Linked DNA regions of Arabidopsis thaliana. The protein of the gene in region 2 purifies or fractionates together with the protein of the main gene of each other region. This does not show direct contact. Each region holds a gene or a part of one and is shown on either strand. Other genes may lie near its edges.

What was found. Proteins that work in one complex are often made in the same cells at the same time.
Region 1: the proteins of TUBG1 (region 2) and SPC98 purify together in Arabidopsis thaliana (affinity purification with western blotting, with the first as the bait; one study listed by BioGRID). This does not show direct contact.
Region 3: the proteins of TUBG1 (region 2) and NodGS purify together in Arabidopsis thaliana (affinity purification with western blotting; one study listed by BioGRID). This does not show direct contact.

What each region holds. Positions count from the first base shown.
Region 1 is NC_003076.8:2,054,182-2,060,933, forward strand, and holds SPC98 (spindle pole body component 98), read left to right. Parts: upstream 1-2,346; 5' UTR 2,347-2,559; coding exon 2,560-4,814; intron 4,815-4,926; coding exon 4,927-5,188; 3' UTR 5,189-5,678; downstream 5,679-6,752. Other genes in the region: AT5G06670 (P-loop containing nucleoside triphosphate hydrolases superfamily protein), read right to left, coding at 147-236, 417-514, 609-838; WCRKC1 (WCRKC thioredoxin 1), read right to left, coding at 6,671-6,752. UniProt on the Arabidopsis thaliana protein: Gamma-tubulin complex is necessary for microtubule nucleation at the microtubule organizing centers (MTOCs). Required for the positioning of the gamma-tubulin-containing complex on pre-existing microtubules and for the proper organization of cortical arrays.
Region 2 is NC_003074.8:22,810,728-22,817,543, reverse strand, and holds TUBG1 (gamma-tubulin), read left to right. Parts: upstream 1-2,327; 5' UTR 2,328-2,532; coding exon 2,533-2,661; intron 2,662-2,836; coding exon 2,837-3,149; intron 3,150-3,253; coding exon 3,254-3,654; intron 3,655-3,792; coding exon 3,793-3,846; intron 3,847-3,920; coding exon 3,921-4,025; intron 4,026-4,127; coding exon 4,128-4,202; intron 4,203-4,294; coding exon 4,295-4,339; intron 4,340-4,474; coding exon 4,475-4,603; intron 4,604-4,693; coding exon 4,694-4,798; intron 4,799-4,874; coding exon 4,875-4,943; 3' UTR 4,944-5,462; downstream 5,463-6,816. Other genes in the region: AT3G61660 (uncharacterized protein), read right to left, coding at 1,003-1,422. UniProt on the Arabidopsis thaliana protein: Tubulin is the major constituent of microtubules. The gamma chain is found at microtubule organizing centers (MTOC) such as the spindle poles, suggesting that it is involved in the minus-end nucleation of microtubule assembly.
Region 3 is NC_003074.8:19,704,189-19,712,534, reverse strand, and holds NodGS (nodulin/glutamine synthase-like protein), read right to left. Parts: upstream 5,716-8,346; 5' UTR 5,468-5,715; coding exon 5,306-5,467; intron 5,102-5,305; coding exon 4,752-5,101; intron 4,664-4,751; coding exon 4,548-4,663; intron 4,471-4,547; coding exon 4,365-4,470; intron 4,223-4,364; coding exon 4,066-4,222; intron 3,994-4,065; coding exon 3,898-3,993; intron 3,832-3,897; coding exon 3,783-3,831; intron 3,654-3,782; coding exon 3,382-3,653; intron 3,267-3,381; coding exon 3,094-3,266; intron 3,009-3,093; coding exon 2,888-3,008; intron 2,805-2,887; coding exon 2,752-2,804; intron 2,660-2,751; coding exon 2,530-2,659; intron 2,453-2,529; coding exon 2,307-2,452; intron 2,237-2,306; coding exon 2,048-2,236; intron 1,972-2,047; coding exon 1,739-1,971; intron 1,656-1,738; coding exon 1,513-1,655; intron 1,410-1,512; coding exon 1,347-1,409; 3' UTR 1,075-1,346; downstream 1-1,074. Other genes in the region: AT3G53170 (LOW protein: PPR containing protein), read left to right, coding at 6,118-6,194, 6,304-6,613, 6,700-7,783, 7,907-7,935.

The DNA.
Region 1 (6,752 bases), on a different chromosome or scaffold from region 2:
ACTCAAAGATCTCATTTTCTAAATGAATGGTCATGCAACTGTTCATGGTACTGTAGCTCGGGTAAGCTTGATACTAAAAATATCTTTTTCTCTTCTAAGAATAAAGTCTTAACTAGAGAGGGCAATAATAAGTGTTTAGTCCATACCATTGACCCCCGCCATAGCACCATTAACGACATGCTGAGCAGCAACATCATAGACATTGCGTGTAGTCGTAGTAGGCCCGAAAACACGATCTGCAAGAAAGGACAACAGAAATTTCAAGAAAAAATATGGCAGATTGGACCTTGATATCTAGTTTAATTTAGGTCTTGATTCATGATGCATGAAACTTCAATCCATTCCACAGAACAAGATTTATGATGGTTACAGAAACTCATGAAGTCATGAACACTAGTCAAACTGTTAAGACTAACCATAGGCATAAGCTATTGATTGATTATTCTCATTCCGCACTATCGTTTCCCCATCTGCATACCATGCAATCTCCTCTCCTTTCCGGATTTCCCTTGGACTAAGTGAAGCATAAACCAATGTCAACAATCCACAGAACAAACATATAAAACTAAAGTGTTTGAATCCTACACAAAAGAAATCAACATATTCACCTGAGTGGACGAAAACGCACAGTGACAGTGACATTTTCTTTGGACTGCAAAGGCTTAGGTGGTAACTGAGGCTTGCTTCGAACCGATGAAGAAGTAGGGGAGCTATGGCTATCTACAGACGCCTCTTGATAAAGTTTTGAAGACGAGGTTGTTGAAGATGCAGAGGACTCAACAGTCTTTAACTTGCTAAATCCACCATTTCTAGTCTTTGATACTTGTTTAGATCCCATCACAAAACCAAATTCAAACTTCGAGTGACTGAAAAAATGAAGAAAGTACAAAACTTTATCAAGTACAGACTGAAACCAAGCTAACGGAATTATGCTCGACTGTGTAATGAGCTAAAGATTCCTTTTTTTTTGTCAAACTGAGCTAAAGATTCCAAATTGTCATAGAGCAACTTGCAAATTGACAGGAAAGCAATGAAATTGGGAGTTTACAAAGCTCAATCGGTAAGCGAGTGAGAGAATCACAATGAGAGGAATAAGAGAATTACGGAAATGCCACGAGCTTCGAACACTTGGGTTAGGTCGAAAATTGCAATAAAAGAGAAGAAGAGAGGCAAGTGGGTACTAACTCAATGTAGCATCACCGCCGCTAAAAGCCGAATCGCATGCAAAGGATTATGATGATGCAAGAGAGAGTGAGTGATTACGTAGAAGAAGAAGAAGAAGAGGAACTTAAAGAAGAGAAAAGCATAATCATCATTAAAAGAGTAATTAGTTAGATGATTGCGATTGTTGTGTAAAAGAGTGTTTACTTTTTAATAATAATCTCTCGCTTGCCTTTGAAGTTTGAAGTGATAATACCCGAGTTTCAATTGTTTATTCGTTCTTCTCTTAAACTGTAATCACCAAAACATCATTAAGAGATAAAGATAAGAGAAGAATCGTATACGTACACATGTACAATTGTACGTATTTGCCTTCACGGATTTTTCTATGTCATAAATAGCTATAAACTTCTAAACTTTTGTTGTTGAATCAATTATGATTAGATAAGGAAGTAAATTGGTGTGAAAAAGATAAAGATATGGAAATGATAGTAAAGTAGTGTATATATATAAATGGTGTGCAATCTGTAACAAACAGAATATAGAGAAATTAATTAGTGAAAAAAGTAGAAAGTGATTGTTACAGGGAATATTTTTCCACATACGTAAAAATAGGTCTAATATTTTTACTTTTTAATTCCGATCTTGTACTTTTCTTTTTACAATTGATTAAAGTGGAAATAAGCTTCCTTTATTTTCATCTTCATTGATGAAAATAATGAGTAGAGAAACATTTTACTACCTAAAATGAGTAGAGAAATCATTCCTCTATTCAGAGAACAAATGTCTAAAATGAACTGTTTTTATTATTTTGCTCAATAAATACATAAATTTGGTAGATAAAACCAAATAATCTTTTTTAAATGCTAGTTAATTTTTTAAAAAAGTATACATTTTTATTGGTACCTTTTATTGTGAATTAAATATTATGAGGTTTTTTCATATTTATATATTTCTTTATTAATTTTAAAATGGAAAATTCTCAAAATTCCATTAAACAAAAAAATTCTACGTAACATATCAATTAACTTGTGAACTTTTTTTTAATTCAAACATTATTTTTCTCCGTTGTTTCAAATAATATATTTGAAATAAAACTTATAACAAAAAAAATGAGAAGATATTTTGCATAATGTTTTTTTATTCCAATGTTTTTGGATTTCAACATATGTATTCAATTGCCCGCCGAGGAAAAATAATTACATAGCTCTAAAGTCCAAAAGAAGCCCAATCTTTTTTTATTCGTTCACTCACTACTCTCTTCACTCGCCCAAACTCTGCAAAACCTCTTTCGATTTCAAAAATCAAATTCACCAAAAAAACTTCGAAGAACAAAAAAAATCCAAAAAAAGGTGAAATCGAAGAAGAAGAAAAAAAAGGCAAAAGCTTGAATTGATTATGGAAGACGACGATCAGCAGAAGGCTGCAGATCTAGTACAAGAGCTTGTTCTTCGTCTCGTCTCACAAAACCCTCAAACCCCTAATCTCGATCCCAATTCTCCCGCCTTCCTCAAAACCCTTCGTTACGCTTTTCGTATCCTCTCTAGTCGTCTTACTCCTTCCGTCCTCCCTGACGCCACCGCTATCGCTGAGTCTCTCAAACGCCGTCTCGCTACTCAGGGTAAGTCCTCCGACGCACTCGCTTTTGCCGATCTCTACACTAAGTTCGCTTCCAAAACTGGACCTGGCAGTGTCAATAACAAATGGGCTCTTGTTTATTTGCTTAAAATTGTTTCTGACGATCGTAAATCGGCTATAAATGGTCTTGATTCCTCGGTTTTGTTACCTAATTTGGGGATTGGTGATACTGGTAATGGGGTTTTGAGCCGTGGAGAGGCTAAGAAGAAGGATTGGAGTAATGGGGTTTTGTTGGTTAGTAAAGATCCTGAGAATTTGAGGGATATTGCGTTTAGAGAGTATGCCATTTTGGTTAAGGAAGAGAATGAAGTGACGGAGGAGGTTCTAGTGAGGGATGTTTTGTATGCTAGCCAAGGAATTGATGGGAAATATGTCAAATTTAACAGTGAAATCGACGGTTATGCCGTGCAGGAGTCTGTTAAGGTGCCTCGAGCTACGAGGATTATGGTTCGTATGCTCTCTGAGCTTGGTTGGTTGTTTAGAAAGGTTAAGACTTTTATAACTGAGAGTATGGATCGGTTTCCAGCTGAGGATGTGGGAACTGTTGGGCAAGCGTTTTGTGCGGCGTTGCAAGATGAGCTTTCTGATTATTATAAGTTGTTAGCTGTGCTAGAAGCGCAGGCCATGAATCCTATTCCTTTGGTTTCTGAATCAGCAAGCTCAAACAATTACCTTTCTTTGAGGAGGTTGTCGGTATGGTTTGCGGAGCCTATGGTGAAAATGAGACTGATGGCTGTTTTGGTTGACAAGTGTAAGGTTTTGAGAGGTGGGGCGATGGCTGGGGCTATCCATTTGCACGCACAGCATGGTGATCCGCTTGTTCATGATTTTATGATGAGTTTGCTTCGATGTGTGTGTTCTCCGCTATTTGAAATGGTGAGAAGTTGGGTTCTAGAAGGGGAGTTGGAAGATACTTTTGGTGAATTCTTTGTCGTAGGTCAGCCGGTTAAAGTCGATTTGCTTTGGAGAGAAGGCTATAAGCTCCACCCAGCAATGCTTCCATCTTTTATTTCACCAAGTCTAGCTCAGAGAATTCTGAGAACTGGGAAATCTATAAACTTTCTTCGTGTTTGCTGTGATGACCACGGGTGGGCTGATGCAGCTTCAGAAGCAGCAGCTGCCTCTGGGACAACAACTAGGCGAGGAGGTCTCGGGTATGGTGAAACAGATGCACTTGAACATCTTGTAACCGAGGCAGCAAAGAGAATCGACAAGCATCTGTTGGATGTTCTATATAAGAGATATAAATTTAAGGAGCATTGTCTTGCGATTAAGCGTTATTTACTACTTGGTCAAGGTGATTTTGTCCAGTACTTGATGGATATTGTAGGACCCAAGCTTTCTGAGCCAGCCAATAATATTAGTTCATTTGAGCTAGCTGGGTTTCTTGAGGCTGCAATACGAGCATCAAATGCACAGTATGATGACCGTGACATGCTAGACAGATTGAGAGTGAAGATGATGCCTCATGGCAGTGGAGACAGAGGCTGGGATGTATTCTCATTGGAATACGAGGCAAGGGTTCCATTAGATACCGTGTTTACTGAGTCTGTTTTGTCTAAATACCTGAGAGTGTTCAATTTTCTCTGGAAGTTGAAACGGGTAGAGCATGCTCTTATCGGAATTTGGAAGACCATGAAACCAAATTGCATCACTTCGAACTCATTTGTTAAGCTTCAAAGTTCGGTGAAGTTGCAATTACTCTCAGCCCTGAGGCGGTGCCAGGTCCTTTGGAATGAAATGAACCATTTTGTTACTAACTTTCAGTATTACATCATGTTTGAGGTATTGGAGGTATCATGGTCTAATTTCTCAAAAGAGATGGAAGCTGCTAAAGACCTCGATGATCTCTTGGCAGCGCATGAGAAGTACCTCAACGCCATTGTTGGAAAATCTCTTCTGGGTGAACAGTCACAGACCATCCGCGAATCACTTTTCGTCCTGTTTGAGCTTATATTACGGTTCAGGAGTCATGCAGATCGTTTGTATGAAGGAATTCACGAGTTGCAAATAAGGTGTGTTTTGTCTTTTATATTCAAACAAAAGTAGACCTTAAACTATTGCTCAAACATTTTCCTCTGATTTTAGGGTCACAATTTGATCTCTAATATCACCGATTTCCTGCAGATCTAAAGAATCAGGACGAGAAAAAAACAAATCGCAAGAGCCCGGTTCATGGATCAGTGAGGGTAGGAAGGGCTTAACACAGCGTGCTGGAGAATTTCTACAAAGCATGAGTCAAGATATGGACAGTATTGCAAAGGAATACACATCGTCACTTGATGGATTCCTATCTCTCTTGCCTCTGCAACAATCTGTAGATCTCAAGTTTCTCTTTTTCCGGCTTGACTTCACTGAGTTCTACAGCCGATTGCATTCCAAAGGATAAGAAAGTTGAAAGAGTATCAGGTTTAGTTGAAAAGCATATTGCACAATCGCAAGAGAAGAAGACATTATCTACGTCTTTCACTAACCGCTGACTGCAGCATGGGCTCTCCTGAACCAGGGATGCAGAGGTTCTTTTCTTAAAATCTAGGTGCGTGGGAGAATCTGTTTCTTATTTAGAGACTGCCTCATAGATTTTCTGTCTTTTGCATAGATTGTTTTTTCAATGGCTTGTTTCAAAGTTTAGGATTGGGAAACAGATTCTTTGTGTTGGTAAATTGGGGAAGGTTTGTGTTTGAGTTTGTGCTATAAGTCTGATGATCTCCAGCTTTAGTTTTTTTTCTTCTTCTGTGGTTCACTGATTTGTATGATTTGTTTTATGACTTGGTTGATATAAGAAGGAATCAGTTGCTTCTTCATAATGTGTATCTCCATAGTGTAAAAGGCTCCAAACTCTGAATTTTTCACTATCTAGAAGCTTCTGTAGCCACGGCCTGAGATTGAGCACAAGCATTAGCTCACAGTGATTTTAATCCGCAAGCCTTTCTCTTGCAATTAAGAAGAACCTTTGTGATACTCTTCCTCTCATCCACATTGATCTATCTCTGTGTGAATGAAGCATATGAACAACAAAAAACAAGTAGCTTTTGGCAAGAGTTACAGTCTCAAAATCTAAAGCAATCGTGTCCAATTTAAAAGAAAAAACAATTCACGGTTGTCGATTAATTTGCAAGTGCAGGCCAAACTGGAGGTTAACATATAAGGAAAAAAAAAAGGTGAAAAAATTCGTCGCCTGAGAGATTCGAACTCTCGCGGGGAAACCCCATTTACTTAGCAGGCAAACGCCTTAACCACTCGGCCAAAGCGACGATGATGCTCAATTAATGAATTGATTAATTTAATCGTTAATTGAAATTATTAGTATAAAATAGAAATCAAAATGTGAAATTTCTTCCAAAACATTAGCTTTTCATTCACTCGTAGAACTTGTAATAGAGTAGCTCATTTACTTGCCAAACATGGTTGTCTTCAATGTAACTACTACTCTGATTATGCTTGTCCTCCTAATTGAATGGTTGAACAATTGTACCTTGACTTTAGCCATTCTTAATTAACAAAGCTCAATCTCGACGAAAAGAAAAAAAAATGTGAAATTTCTTGATTATCAAAAAAAGGAGTTTTTAAGTTTGAAATTGTATAAAGAAAGAAAATAAGAAAACTGACTGTACATATTAATTTTTTTTAAAAGAAAAAAAAAAGGTAGGAAATGAAAAAAAAGAGAGAACTAGACAAATTTGTTGATCAATTCTCTAACTTCTTCGATGACAAGCCATCCTTTGTGACCTCCAATCACCTCCTCTTTCATCTCATCTTCCTTCCATAACTGCATTCACCACTCATTTTTCTCATTATTATGTTAATTTACTTTTTCACTATTACTTTATTGTCAAATGCGTATCAAGAAACTCAAAATACTGATGTTGTATTAGATGAAAGTAAGCATACCTGAATAGTAGGCATTTTCTGCATAACACACGAATATGGAAGTAATTGGTTCAGATTTGGCA
Region 2 (6,816 bases):
GAGAGACTTAACTGCTTTTTGAGACAACAATTGGTAATGGATTATGCAATTATAGCTATTGGTCTATTTCGCATTCATTTTACACTTTCTTGTGATTTTAATTATTGTGATTTGTTCCTCTCTTTTCTTTCTTCAGCAGCCTTTTGTACTCTTGATGATGTGAATTGGAGTGTAATATAACACCCCTCAATGTTGTTAATATAAGTGTTTCAAAAATAGTCTACTTATATGATATAAACTAAAGTATATGGAGGAACAAATTCGAAGATGCTCGTTGTTATCATAAGCTTTAATACTTTATTGAGGAAGCATTTTATGTTGTAACGGCTAAACTATACTCAACAAGAAAAGGTAAATTCTAACGGAAACAATATAGCCTTTAATTCTGTTCAAAGTTATAGAGATGGGCCGTTACAGACTTTTATTCAAGAAGCCCATCTGCGCATACTCAACACTTTTTTAAAGAGTAACAAATTACACAAATTTACCAAGTTCCCAAGACCTAAATCATTGACTGAGTCAAGAATCATTTGCAATTTGCATGTTAGAATATTGTCAGAAGAATCATGAAATTTTCAAATTGCTTCACATGTTTTGTCCTTTGTTATTCACTTGAGGATTTTCTATGAAGTTCATATTTTTCTTCTGACACCCCGATGAACTGTTAGTAAAATGGCAATTGCTAAACGACTCCTATATCATTCTATCGCTATATATCTCATATTCCCCAATGTAAACGTTGATTGCATGTTGATCCACGTTTCACTCTTTGCCTAAACGTTTCAGAGACGTATGATGTGATGGATATTAAATCCATGAAATTCTTCAACTTAAACTAATTACTCTGCATTTAATCCATAAGTCAATAAAATGTATTTCCCGTTTCATTACAGTTTATTCGATTAAATTTTCAAATTAAAAAACATGAGCAAGTAATATACTTAATTATTATTTTACGAAGGATCAAACAAATACTAAAAACAGAAAAAGAAGATATGAAAATCACATCTTCGAAGAACCAGATCTTGTTGTAGAAATCCTTATCTTAGAGAGGATCCGACAAAACATATTCTTCTTCTTGTTGTTGTAATTATCGACGACAGCTTCGGTGTTTTGCTTTCTCTTCCACCATTTGGTTCCAAAAGCACCGCACAACAGTTTACCAGTCGTCGAATCAGAGGAACAACACAGATCAACGACGGTGTTGGCCCCACGATTGGCCTTTTCTTCCAGATCAGACGGTCTTCGAGAGCAGCAAACTTTTCCGGCGCCAGCAAGAGAAGGTAGAGACATGAAATGGCGTTCAATGATGTGAGTAAGAGAAACGAGCTCGTAGGAATCATAGAGTGGACTTCCACAATCCCATAGTATACGATCATCATCATCAACCATATTCTTCGTTTTCTCTGTGGTCTTTTTCATGAATGATGTTTTTGGAAAGTGGAAGTGTGTTTCTCGATGTAGATTTCTGACAGTGAGTGCGTGTCTTCTATTGAAAGTGTTTTAAGGTTTTTGTTTTCTTCCTCTAGTCTTTGTTTTTGGTCGAATGGACTTATAACAGTCAAGCTGGCGAGATTTGTTTATGTTTATTTGACGATTATTTACCTTTAATGGAGGTTTTTTTTTTTGTTGTTAATTACTCGTTAATGAATCCGGAAATTGGAGAATATAGATACACTACGAATTTGATAAAGGGAAATATGTGATTATCATTTTACCATTTTAGTTGGTTTAAAGAATGAACTCTTCCAATTTATCATTTTACCATAAAGGGAAATATGTAATTTAAATTTTTAATTTTATGTTGAATTTCAATTTAATCATAAATTTTCGTTGACTAAGTTGGTTAAGACATGTCGTTAGAAATTCTTCCAATAAAAAATCTTAGATCTTGAAAATAGATTTCCAATTTTTTTTTCTTTTTCTTCGGATTCTTGCTTCTTTTTTTAATTTAAAGTAATTTTTCGTCTCTAAGTCGACAGATAGCATCGAAAAAGAAGAATTTGTATCTCAATTAGCTTACTCAACGAGAATTCATGATTAAATTGAAAAACAACATAAAATTAAGGATTTAAATCACCATACCCAAAATTCATATTTTAAACTAACGAAAATGGTAAACTAATGATTTAAATGACATTTTTCCCATTTGATAATCAAAAAACTCTAAAAATTAATCTTAAAGTTAAAAGTTATTATTCCATCCTTTACATGCAAAATTCTTCCTTTTTAAGATTTATTGGGCTGAAGAAATACAAAACGGGCCTATAATTGGCCCAATATGAGTAAGCAGACGTTAGTTAGCTTAGCTGAGAGAGTGTGGCTTTAATTAGAGCATATGGTTTAGTGTTAATCTATGCAAAAATTTATCTTCTCCGTCCGCAAAAATTCTTTAAAGCATTGGATCGAGTTTTAAAAAGGTATCCGCGCCAGAGCTTAATTTAATCATTTTCATTTCTTCATCATTCATCATCTTCCTCACAGTCTCGAAACCCTAGTTTTGTACCCAATAACAACTTTCTGGGTTTAGAAATGCCTCGGGAGATAATTACGCTTCAGGTTGGACAATGTGGGAATCAGATCGGTATGGAGTTCTGGAAACAGCTTTGCCTCGAGCACGGTATCAGTAAAGATGGTATTCTCGAGGACTTCGCTACTCAGGTCCTTCTTCTTCTGAACCAACCAAGCCTCTCTTTATAATTAATTGTCTACTTGAATTTCTTAGGTCTTATTGATTCGAAATCGTTGTTTCTGGGTTTCTATTAATCGACAATTGAATACCCATTTGGGATTAGTGGATTAGTGGATTTTTGATGTTTTGATCTTGTTTGTGAAGGGAGGTGATAGAAAAGATGTGTTTTTTTACCAAGCGGATGACCAACACTATATCCCACGAGCTCTCCTCATTGATTTGGAGCCTAGAGTCATCAATGGTATTCAGAATGGTGATTACCGCAATCTCTATAATCACGAGAATATCTTCGTTGCTGACCATGGTGGTGGTGCTGGTAATAACTGGGCCAGTGGTTATCACCAGGGGAAGGGTGTTGAAGAGGAAATCATGGACATGATTGATCGAGAAGCTGATGGAAGTGACAGTCTTGAGGGTTTTGTTCTTTGCCACTCTATTGCTGGAGGCACTGGCTCAGGTAAATGATGAGGCTTTCTTCTTTTAGCATTCTCATGTTTTTTCACTGCTTCTTCTGATGTGAATGACTCCCTCCATCTCTCTCTCTCTTTCTTTCACATGAAGGTATGGGATCTTATTTGTTGGAGACTTTGAATGATCGCTACAGCAAGAAGTTGGTTCAGACATACAGTGTCTTTCCCAATCAGATGGAAACGAGTGACGTTGTTGTCCAGCCCTACAACTCACTTTTGACGCTTAAGCGGCTTACATTAAATGCTGATTGTGTTGTTGTCCTTGACAACACTGCTTTGGGAAGGATTGCTGTGGAGCGTCTACATCTGACAAATCCTACCTTTGCTCAAACGAATTCTCTAGTGTCTACTGTGATGTCTGCTAGCACAACAACACTGCGTTATCCAGGATACATGAATAACGACCTCGTTGGCTTGCTTGCATCTTTGATCCCAACACCAAGGTGTCACTTCCTCATGACTGGATATACACCATTGACTGTTGAGCGCCAGGTAAGATATCTCAACGAGTTTAATATCACAAAATAATTTTATGGGAAGCGATCATTGTATCTTGAACATAAATTCTACAGTGTGCAAATGGTTTTTTTGATTGATTTCCTGCTCTATTAACTGACTTGTTCTTGGCAGGCAAATGTCATTCGTAAAACTACTGTGCTGGATGTTATGAGAAGACTTCTACAGGTGAGCTGTTTGCCTTCTCCAATCTTTTTCCGAAACTTGAATCGGTTGTGCTTCTAACATGATTGTATTTGCAGACAAAAAATATCATGGTTTCGTCTTATGCTAGAAACAAAGAAGCTAGTCAGGCAAAGTATATATCAATATTGAATATAATTCAAGGAGAAGTCGATCCCACTCAGGTACTTTTACCTAGCTGTTTTTTGATCGGACACATTGAGGATGAATTGGTTATTCTTTCTTGCTGATGTAATCTGCTCTGTTATTTCGCTACTTGATACTAGGTGCATGAGAGTTTGCAGAGGATACGAGAAAGAAAGCTTGTTAATTTCATTGAGTGGGGACCTGCAAGCATACAGGTTCTAACCTAATTGTGTCTGCAAATTAGTTATTGCTTTTGGCTTCACCATGGACTTGAATCATAATTTTTTCCATATCTTACTCTCAACAGGTTGCTCTTTCCAAGAAGTCCCCATATGTTCAAACTGCCCATAGGGTAATCTTATATCACTCTATATCTATCTGTCATACTGAGAGTTGCCGCTCCTTACAGTTAATGTCTTAGGCTGCTAGTTCCTGCTTTAGAAGATTCAACAAAGACTCTTATTTTATGGTGTATTTGATATTTCAGGTCAGTGGTCTTATGTTAGCAAGCCACACTAGTATCAGGCACCTATTCAGCAAATGTTTGAGCCAATATGATAAGTTGAGGAAGAAGCAAGCTTTTCTAGACAATTACCGGAAGTTTCCCATGTTTGCTGTAAGTTGACTGCTCAAGTATAATGGCTTTGTTTGGCTGATGTTTAGTGCAACAAACCCAGCTTTGACAGTTACATGTTGATATGAACAGGACAATGATCTTTCAGAGTTTGACGAATCAAGGGACATAATTGAGAGTTTGGTAGATGAATACAAGGCCTGTGAGTCTCCAGATTACATCAAATGGGGAATGGAGGTATATAAGCTTTTCCCATCAATAATCTTACTTATGGATGAACTCGAAATGATAACTGTATCTGTGTCTGTCTCAGGACCCTGAACAGCTTATGACTGGTGAAGGCAATGCTTCAGGAGTTGTTGATCCGAAGTTGGCGTTCTGATTATTATATAAAAACAAAAACCAGAGTAAGTCGCATGAAGTTTCACTTTTAACTGAGATATTTCAGGTGATCATAGGATTACTTAAAAATGGGTTTTGGTAGGAGCAGTAGTAAGTGTTGGCACGTAAAACCTTGGAATAGTGGTATGATGTGGATGAGTTTTTTAGTCTGTTAGATGAATGTGTGTTTCCTGGGATTGAGAGCACACAAAGTTGCATCTCCTCACTCCTCAGGAGAAGGAATCTAGAATTGTAATATTTATGGGTGTTTTAGCTCATGTCTCTGTGATCGGAGTATCATGTTCTCCATGTGTGGTTAAAAGACTCGAAAACTCTAGAAAGCAAGAAGCATGTTGTGTTGATGAAGGAATTGGGTTTAATGGATTCTATTTTCTTTGTATATATGCTGTGATCTAAACTTTTACTAGTGCCGTGTTGATCATAGTAAATTCTATCGGTCAACTCTCCTTTGAGTTTCTTTTTGCATACGACGCCGTTCTGGAAGCAAATCAAACTTAACCAACAATATAAAATCATATTTATAAAAAAAAACCTTTGCAAGTTGAATTGAATTTACTTACTATATAAGAATTTAAATTTCGTGGACCTCATATTTTATAATATAATGGGATTAGGTAACAAATTACACTAATGATTTTCCAAGAAGTCGTTTTAGACGCGAGTATTTGTAAATTAGTAAGCAAATAATAAAAAGAGATGTTGACAAAACGATAAACAATCCGACATCAACTGCGATTTATTTGGCCTTATGATGAATAGATTTTACTTTTTAGATATCGAAAGTGTATGTTACTTTGTTTGTTAGCTAAGTCCTTATCTTTCTTCTTATTTTGAAACTAAGCATAATCTTACGAGTAAAAACCAAAATCTGACTAAAGACCTATAACAACACTTACTTACTAGCCGTTACATATGTTTCACTCAAAGCATAAATTTTTATAATAACAATTTGTTTTTATTCTCGTATCAATAATTTTTTTTAAAAAAAAGGGGAACAGCTTGGCGAATTATTCCATTTTTTTAATTTAAAAGTAAAGAACTGAAAAAGGGGGAATCTCAACATCATCACATCACATGGCCTCTTTCTTACTATTATGTAACTCAATTATTCCCTCTGCAATGTTTTTCTGGTCCCTAACTATAAACATCTTTTGTGATGTTTGGTACTAAATGATATTTTATTTATTTACAAATAGATAATTATGCTAGTAGTAGTACCATACTAGAATTTAAAGAAATATATGTGGAGGCTGGAGAGAGAATTACAATTTGGTTTTGCATAATTATGTAGAAAGGTTTAGAAAATATCTAGTAAGGTGAAGTTTTATTGTCAAAATATTAGTATGAGTTTTGGAACAAAAACTAGTTGATCTCTTGTGTAATTAAAGCGTGTTGTAGTAATAGTAATAGTAGCAAAAGAAAAGAGATTTCAAATGGGAGATGCACATATGGACACGGATTCGTACAAAGGTTAGAAGAAACACATGTTAAGGTTTCAAAGAATAAAATCCACCCCTGTTTAATGCTCCTATACACGAAAGAGCTCTCAACGCGTAATATCTGTCAAATTTTAATTCAGAGGACGTGTTAAATTAGCCATAACTTTAGTTTAAAGCTAAATTTGATAATAATTACAATAAATTCCAATTCCATTTGTTGAGGGAATAGAAAGAAATTAAACGAACCAACTAGGAACGGTCATTTAGCCAGAAAATGACACATGTCAGTTAACTCCTTTGAACAATTGACAGAAAAGTTCTAGAGTGGATTACCGGCTATACCCGGTAAACAGTCAATTACTATAAAAACGCGTTATAGCCATATATATGATCCAAAGGGGTTTTTGGTTGTCC
Region 3 (8,346 bases), 3.1 Mb from region 2:
TTATCATATTAATAAACCACTTAAACCGGAAATTGGTTTAGGTATTACAAAATTGAACCATGTACAAAATGCCGGTTTCTTATCCCAACGCAAACCAACAAAAACGAAACAAAACTGTTGATACTTGATATATACGCAAAGCAGTTTCACGCTATTGTCTCGTTTTCACCTTGTATTTTCATTTTAATTCGATTCTACAATCCAAAATTAACAGCAAAGTCAATTGAATGTTAACAACAAAATTGATAACGTTGGTTTGGAAGATTTAGAGTAAATCTCTGTCTTTCTTAGGCTGGATTTTAACGTTTTGACCCCATATATCTATCATTCGTACATTTGACTACAAAATTACGTACATGCATGCGACAACAAGATTCTTTTCAAAGGACCTTGCATTGACTTTTATTGTTGTAGTAGAAAGGTTAGATTTTTCCTTCAAATCTTAGTTATAGTTTCCCTTGAACATATAAATCTGTAAAGTTTTAGCTGATTCGTTTGCAAAGGGAAGCAGTAAAAGCTCATTATGTTGTACGTATACCTTCTTACGAACAATTAATTTGTCTAGTGTGAATGAAATCATAAAGTTTGCAAGAAAAAAATTTGGACTTATTAATAAGTTCTCTTCCATAGTCACATGGAGATGGATTTTGTTCGTCCACTTGTTTGAGCATAATAAGCGTACCGTATAAACCTAATCTTTACTTTAATTTCTATACTTATCGTTCATATTTTAAGGAAATTAGCTAGGTAGCATAACTTAATTACACTTTAAACTCCAATTTCTTAAAATTAAATAAATAATATGATGAGATTTACCAAAAGAATGTCATACTAACCTTTTCTTTCATAAAAAAAAACATGTGCTTTAGTTTGCAGATTAAAGGGAGATTAAATATGATTAAATAGGTTAATTAGTCAAAGTAATGAATAAGAAAGATTTGAAAAAAAGGGATCAGGCACCTACCTAGATAACAATAGCCGGACTAAGAACATGGAAAGAACAATGGTTAAAGGGTATTTGCGCTCCTAATACTACAATCATTTTTTTGTTTCCGAGTATTAGTAGTCAAATTCAATTCATAGACAAATGTAAATGATTAAGAACTACTCCGTATTATTGAAAATACTCTGTATATTCTTGAGGCTTTTGAAAGCATGGGACGAAAAAGTAAGAAATACAAATAGTACTCCAGCATGAGCATGCGTCTCGAAATATGAAATTTAGTTTATTAATTTTCTGAACCACATCTTTATGTCAAGTATTTTGCAAATACGACCCTTCATGTGACACAAAGTCCACAATAAAACCAAATGATCCAACAATCATCATAGAGATGCTCAAAGGATTAGTATCGGTGAATGAGTTGCTTATATGCATCCGGATTCTTCGAATAATACTCGACCTCAGCCTGTTACACAAAAAAATTTAAAAAGACAAAAACAATAGATTAGTGCTAATGTACTTTGTTACCACTGAGAATCTAATGGGAAACTAAAAGACTATAGTGTTACCTTACGGACTCCTTTTATGGCAACTAAAAGCTTTTGTCCGAGCAAATCGTGGAGAACTTTGTCTTTGTCCAGAGCTTCAACAGCTTCTGAGAGCGTTTCCGGAAGTCTGTTCAATGTAGCAGCCACATCCGCCGGATTTATATCTGTTCCATCCGAACAACTCAAGATCAAGCTTCATATTAACACTACATATACATGAGAATGAATAACATAAGTTTTTAGTTACCTATTGGAGTAGGAAGTTGAAGATGTCGCCGGAGACCATCAATACCAGCAGCCATTATAACAGCCAAACCAAGGTGAGGATTTGCAGAGCCATCAAAAGACTTTATCTCAAAGTTAGTAACTAAACCATCAGGAGTTCCTGGTGGAGAAGCTGCTCTTAACGCTGCTTCGCGGTTTTCTTTGCCCCAACATTGGAATGCTCCACTCCATGTATTAGGTTGGATTCGGTCGTAGCTGGAAATTTAAGTGACACACACAACTTTTAATAACAATTGAGGAAATTACTCGAAAAGTACGGTTTTCGAGTTACCTGTTTGGGAGTGGAGCTATAATAGCTAAGATTGATGGAAGATGAAATAGAACTCCGGCCATGAACTCTTCTCCAACGGAAGAGATTCCATGAGAAGATGAGTTATTAGATGCCGGGAAGACATTTTCGCCGTTTTTCCAAAGACTTAGATGCACATGTGATCCAGAACCAATGTCACAATAATCATACCTGAAGAAAAAACACATATGTTAAAAATTTGCAGTTACAACGAATAATTTGGTGGGAGAGACTGACATACTTTGGAACAAAGGTTGCGAGCAATCCCTGTTTCCTTGCAACCGATCTTATAACTTCACGTGTGTAGACCAAGTTGTCGGCAGCATGGGATGCAATGGTGTGACCGAGAGATACTTCAAACTGACCTTTCCCGGATTCAGCATGAAACTATGAAAAAATTTCATACATGTCAAGAAGCATGTTGCAGACTGATCATTATGAGGGATTTTTGAATTATTTGTAACCTGTTCAACTTCGATGTTCAAGGACTCGAGTGCGGGTACAATATCATGGAAGATCGGAGATGCAGCATCGAATGAGGATGTGGCACAGTAAGGACCAAAGTCAAAAGGCATATACTCTTCTTTCCCTTCCCTTTTAAAAAATGGACAGAACAAGTGTTAAGATTGTGAAAATGATTGGATTGAACAAAGAAACCGGTATTCAAGAAATATATAGTCGCATACCGCACAACGTTCTTGAGGAGATAAAACTCATTCTCAAAACCAGCGTTCATTACCTAAAAGCCAAGGAAGATTTGAGCTTAAGCAACCAAAAAGCAAATAAAAGTTTTCGTAGAATGGCTATATGGAGATTTCTTACCAAGTCAAATTCATCTTTGAGAACTTTTGCGACCCTTCTTAAGGTCTCTCGTGGACAGTACCCCCATGCTTCACCAGGCTTCAATTGCATATCAGCTAAAACCATGCTCTCTTGCTTCGTCCTAATGATAAAATATGATACGGAAACAATTAAGAAAGAAACATCTGTAAAATTAACTCCAAAGAGAATGAACACGAGTAAAGTACCAAGGTATTGTCTGCTTGGTTGATAGATCTGGAACAAGTCTAATCTCACCCACACCTGTCAATTTAGACTCTTCTGCTGGTCCATCAGTAAATGAAGTCATCCCCATTGATGCAAAGGTCAGACCAACGCCGTTCTTCTTCACACTTCTGTTAAAACGCTGCGCTTGAACAGCCTGAAACAATACAATAAACAGAATTCTAGTTAAGTTTTTGTGCTTCTAAGGAAAAATCGTTGAGGTGGGAAACAGAGGTTTTTTCTTTAGAAGAAACCAAAAAAAAAAAACTCACACGGCATCTTTGTTGTCCAGATGTATCAACCCAAATAATGCGTACAAAAGAACTACTATCTTCTTGAACATCAGGCTCCTTTATCTTCAATTTGGGAGATATTATATTTTGTGGACTAGAAGAATCTGTGTCTATATTAAGCTTATAAAATCCAATAGAATTTCGTGAGAATATGTCTTTAGCTGCATCAATAGCTTCCATGAGTGAGAGATCACCACTGGCACAAGCATCACTCAGAACTAAGAAGATAACCTCACGTGCTTTCTTTGCACCTGCAAAAAACAGCGAGCTATGTTCAAGACTGAAGCAAGACGATTTCAAGTGCCAAAGCTTAGAAACAGGATTGGAACATATATAAGTATGTTACAAACTATAGAAAAGAGGTAGAAACTTGAGCTAACCTAAATAGTAGGTCTCAGGAGATGCATACCCATCAGTGCTGAACATAACCTGCAATAATATCTTATGGTTACTCATGAACAATAACAAAGATAATGCAAGTAAAATAAATTTTACCTTCTTTATTGATGCTAAGTCAAGGAGCTCTTTAACTGAAGAAACCATACCATGGACACTAAGCTTTGGAACCGCCAAGCCGAAATCAAGGTAAACCTTAAGGAACAAGAAAATAAGTTAATGACTAGGCATGATTTTACAGATAATTGAAATGGGATGACGAAAAACCTGAGGATAAACTGAAGACAGAAAGGATGCTTCCTTTGAGAATGGATAAGCTGCATGAAGAAGAACTATACGACACTTTCCAAATCTTTTGTCTTCAAGAAGGGTTCTAAGGTGAAGAGGATTCGACAACCTCAAATCCAAATCCTTGTCACCAAAACTGGCTCAAACAACAAAAGAAAAGGAGAATTTTCATTACTACAAACCTCTGAGCATGAGTTTCTGTTTCTGTGTAAGGTTTGTTTGATAAAAAGATCAGACTTTACTAACATCAATCATATAGTTGATCAAATCTTGCATACCCGGTGTGAATCTGCAAGGGCAAGTCGCGACGCACAGCGACCTCCAAACTAATGGTAAGGATGTAGTCAATCAAGCCCTTGTTTCCTATGCGGACAGGCTTTCCAGCTGCAGCAATATTAGATTTTAAGGTGATCAGACAACAACTATGTTACTTCTTGATAGACCAAGCACAACCATCTTACCTCGCAAGACTTCAACAAGGCCATTCTCAGCAACTTCTTTACTCACATAAGTATCAATATCCAAACCGCTACGATATGCAGCAATAGTTTTCAAAGCAACAATCTCTGGAACAAGCGTGACCGAAGTAGTCAAGGTTAACCAATACTAGTGAGTATAGTCACAATCATTAAGCGTGTATTAAAAAAGCAAAGATAAAAGGATATGAATTTAATCTTTCAACAAAGGTTTTGGTGAAAGAATCTAAATCCCAAACAGGCGGTTCAGTACTCTCAGAACCATAGAAATAACCACCAGGACACTCCTCTTCGAGGATTTGCTCGGCAAGAGTTTCGATACGCAACACTCTACCAACGAATGGAACAAAGTTTCTATGCCATTCAATATCATGTTTCTTGTCTAGCTTTAATCCATCATCAATGAGGAGAGCAGAGATTCGAGCTTCTTTAAAACACTTGGAAGTAAAAGAATCCAAACCCGAGGTTTTACGATGTTCCTCAACCGCTTCTAAAGATACTTCAGTGCCATAAAGTTGAGCAATCTCCCTCAAGTTCCTCTGTTTCATTCATACAACCAAAAACATTCATACCAACTTCACGAGATTCCTAAACAAGTCAACATCTTTTGAGTAACACTCGAAACTTTAGTTAACTAATACTTTTGAGACTAATTAGGAAACTTTAAGCTAACGTTTTCATTAATTAGAATCTGATTCAAACGAAAACTAACTAGAGCAAAAACACTTGGTATCGTCGTGTACCTTGAAGGAGAGAGAATGAGGAGCGAAGGTTAAAGCGTCGCCGGCAGCCTCGGAGAAAGTTCCGATGAACGGAAAAGATGAGTCAAGAGAGACAATGTTGTGTGCGTGAGCATCAACGAGCTCTATCTTCTCTATTGCTTCCTTTAACTCACTAAACTCCATCTCCGTCTCTCTCTGTCTAAAGTCAACAGTTCGATGTTCTTGATTCGTGTTAATCTTCTTACAATCTTCACAGTTTATTACAGGAACGGTTTTAAAGCATAAGTGAAGAAGATCCAATCAAATCGTTGACTTTTCCTTGTCTGATTTGGTCGGTGGCCGATGTCTCTGACCTTTAAACTTCACGACGGCGTTTAGAGGAGAGTGATGAGCACGTGTCCACGTGAAATACATTAGCCTCCACGTGTCCTAACTAGTGTGGATAACTTTCAACTGTGTTCTTGGTTTTTCATTTTCCAAATTCCGGTTCCTTGCCAAGGACAATCTCGTTTTAACAAATTCGAATTCAAAATTAAATTGGAAAAAGCTCCATTTGGTTCTTCCTTCATCAATCCAATCCTTTAAACCGGACAAGAAAAAACTGATTAATGCTAAATTTTTAATTTTGTAAATCCAAATTAAACCGGCATCCAAATCAAAACTAAAACCATTTCATTATATTTTACAAACCGAAGAGAAGCTACACCAAACCGGAGAAGAAGAAAAAAACGAAGGAAAAACAACGGTATCGTCGTCGTCTTCTAGCTCTGCTTTCTACCCAGAAAATTTGCAGTTTCTTTTTCTCCACCTTATCTTTCTACCATTTTTCTTCGATGGCATTGATACAAAATCCTGTTCAAGGAACTACTTCCGCGTACGCCAATGAGATCGCACAACTTGGTTTTTCTCGGTAACATTCTCATATTTCATACAATCATACTGTTTTGAATTTTACGTTTCTTTAATTCTTCAGTTGTGTTTATATTAAATCTATCTTTCTCTGTTTCTCATTCTTGCAGAAGCGTGGTTCAGCAACATATATCTTCCCCTGTTTATTTTCGGTGTATACCAACTATTTCAATAACGCCCACAATGTGTTCGACAAAGGTCCCCAACGAACGTACAGAGAAAATGAATTCTGGTTTGATCTCAACAAGACACCAAGTAGATCCTAAGAAAGAATTGTCTCGGATTCTGAGAACAGATGCTGCTGTGAAGGGCATTGAGAGGAAAGCCAATTCCGAAAAGTACTTAACTTTATGGCCAAAAGCTGTTCTAGAAGCTCTTGACGAAGCTATCAAAGAGAATCGATGGCAGTCTGCTCTCAAGGTACAGCTCTTTAATCCTTCTTCATTCTTACAGATACTTGGACATAGATTCGATAGAATTCACTTTCCTGTTTCTCTACTTTATAGATTTTCAATCTTCTTAGGAAGCAGCATTGGTATGAACCAAGATGCAAAACTTATACAAAGCTGTTTAAAGTGCTTGGGAATTGTAAACAGCCTGATCAAGCCAGCTTGCTTTTCGAAGTTATGTTATCTGAAGGATTGAAACCAACCATTGATGTGTATACCTCTCTTATCTCTGTTTATGGCAAAAGCGAGCTTCTAGACAAGGCGTTTTCTACACTTGAGTATATGAAATCTGTTAGTGACTGCAAGCCAGATGTGTTCACCTTTACTGTTCTCATCAGTTGTTGCTGCAAACTGGGTCGGTTTGATCTGGTTAAAAGTATCGTTCTTGAGATGTCGTATCTTGGAGTTGGATGCAGCACGGTTACTTACAATACTATTATTGATGGGTATGGAAAGGCTGGAATGTTTGAGGAAATGGAAAGTGTTCTGGCTGATATGATCGAGGACGGAGATTCTCTTCCGGATGTTTGTACGCTTAACTCGATCATTGGGTCATATGGAAATGGTCGCAACATGAGGAAGATGGAGAGCTGGTATAGTCGGTTCCAGCTGATGGGGGTGCAACCGGATATCACTACATTTAACATACTGATCCTGTCATTTGGAAAAGCTGGTATGTATAAGAAGATGTGCTCTGTTATGGATTTTATGGAGAAAAGGTTCTTCTCCCTGACGACTGTCACTTACAATATAGTGATTGAGACGTTTGGAAAAGCTGGAAGAATTGAGAAAATGGATGATGTATTCAGGAAAATGAAGTATCAAGGAGTGAAACCAAACTCAATCACTTATTGTTCGCTTGTTAACGCGTATAGCAAAGCAGGTCTTGTCGTTAAGATAGATTCGGTTTTGAGGCAAATTGTGAATTCAGATGTGGTACTGGATACACCGTTCTTCAATTGCATAATCAATGCATATGGTCAGGCTGGTGATTTGGCTACAATGAAAGAATTATACATACAAATGGAAGAGAGAAAATGTAAGCCTGATAAAATCACTTTTGCTACTATGATCAAAACCTATACTGCTCATGGGATATTCGATGCAGTCCAGGAACTCGAGAAACAAATGATTTCCTCTGGTGAGAATTTAGATATCCTCTAAGAAATATAATAACTGAGATAAGAGATATATCTTGAGTATTGCAGCTCTATTTGGTGGTTGAATTTGTTTCTGAACTATTCTTCCTTTACTGGGTTTTAAGATATAGGCAAGAAGAGGCTTACGGAGTGATGCTTTAGTTTGTGAATGAGCAAATCTAATGCAGAAGGAATTTAGAAGTTGTGAATTGTTCCAACTAAGAGAATCACTTGAGGTAACCTTTTTGTTATAAACTGTTATTTTTACTCTAAACTTCAAGATAAAATGGAGACACATGCTTGTAAGTTTAAGTGTTTGTTCAGGTGTTTGGAGCGTTGGTTAGCAAGATCCCAAGAGAGGCATGGCCATTACTAATGAGAATTTGGGTCGGTTCTGAAATAACCAAATCAGCATTGGGGAGAAAACGTAATGATTCCAGTCAATGTAAGTAATAAAAGCCATCACTAGTCTAAATGTTATGGTCTATTTTTCACATGTATTAGAAAATATTATCACATATTGTGTCTGTATATTTTGGATTTGTTTTCATCGTATAGGTTGGGA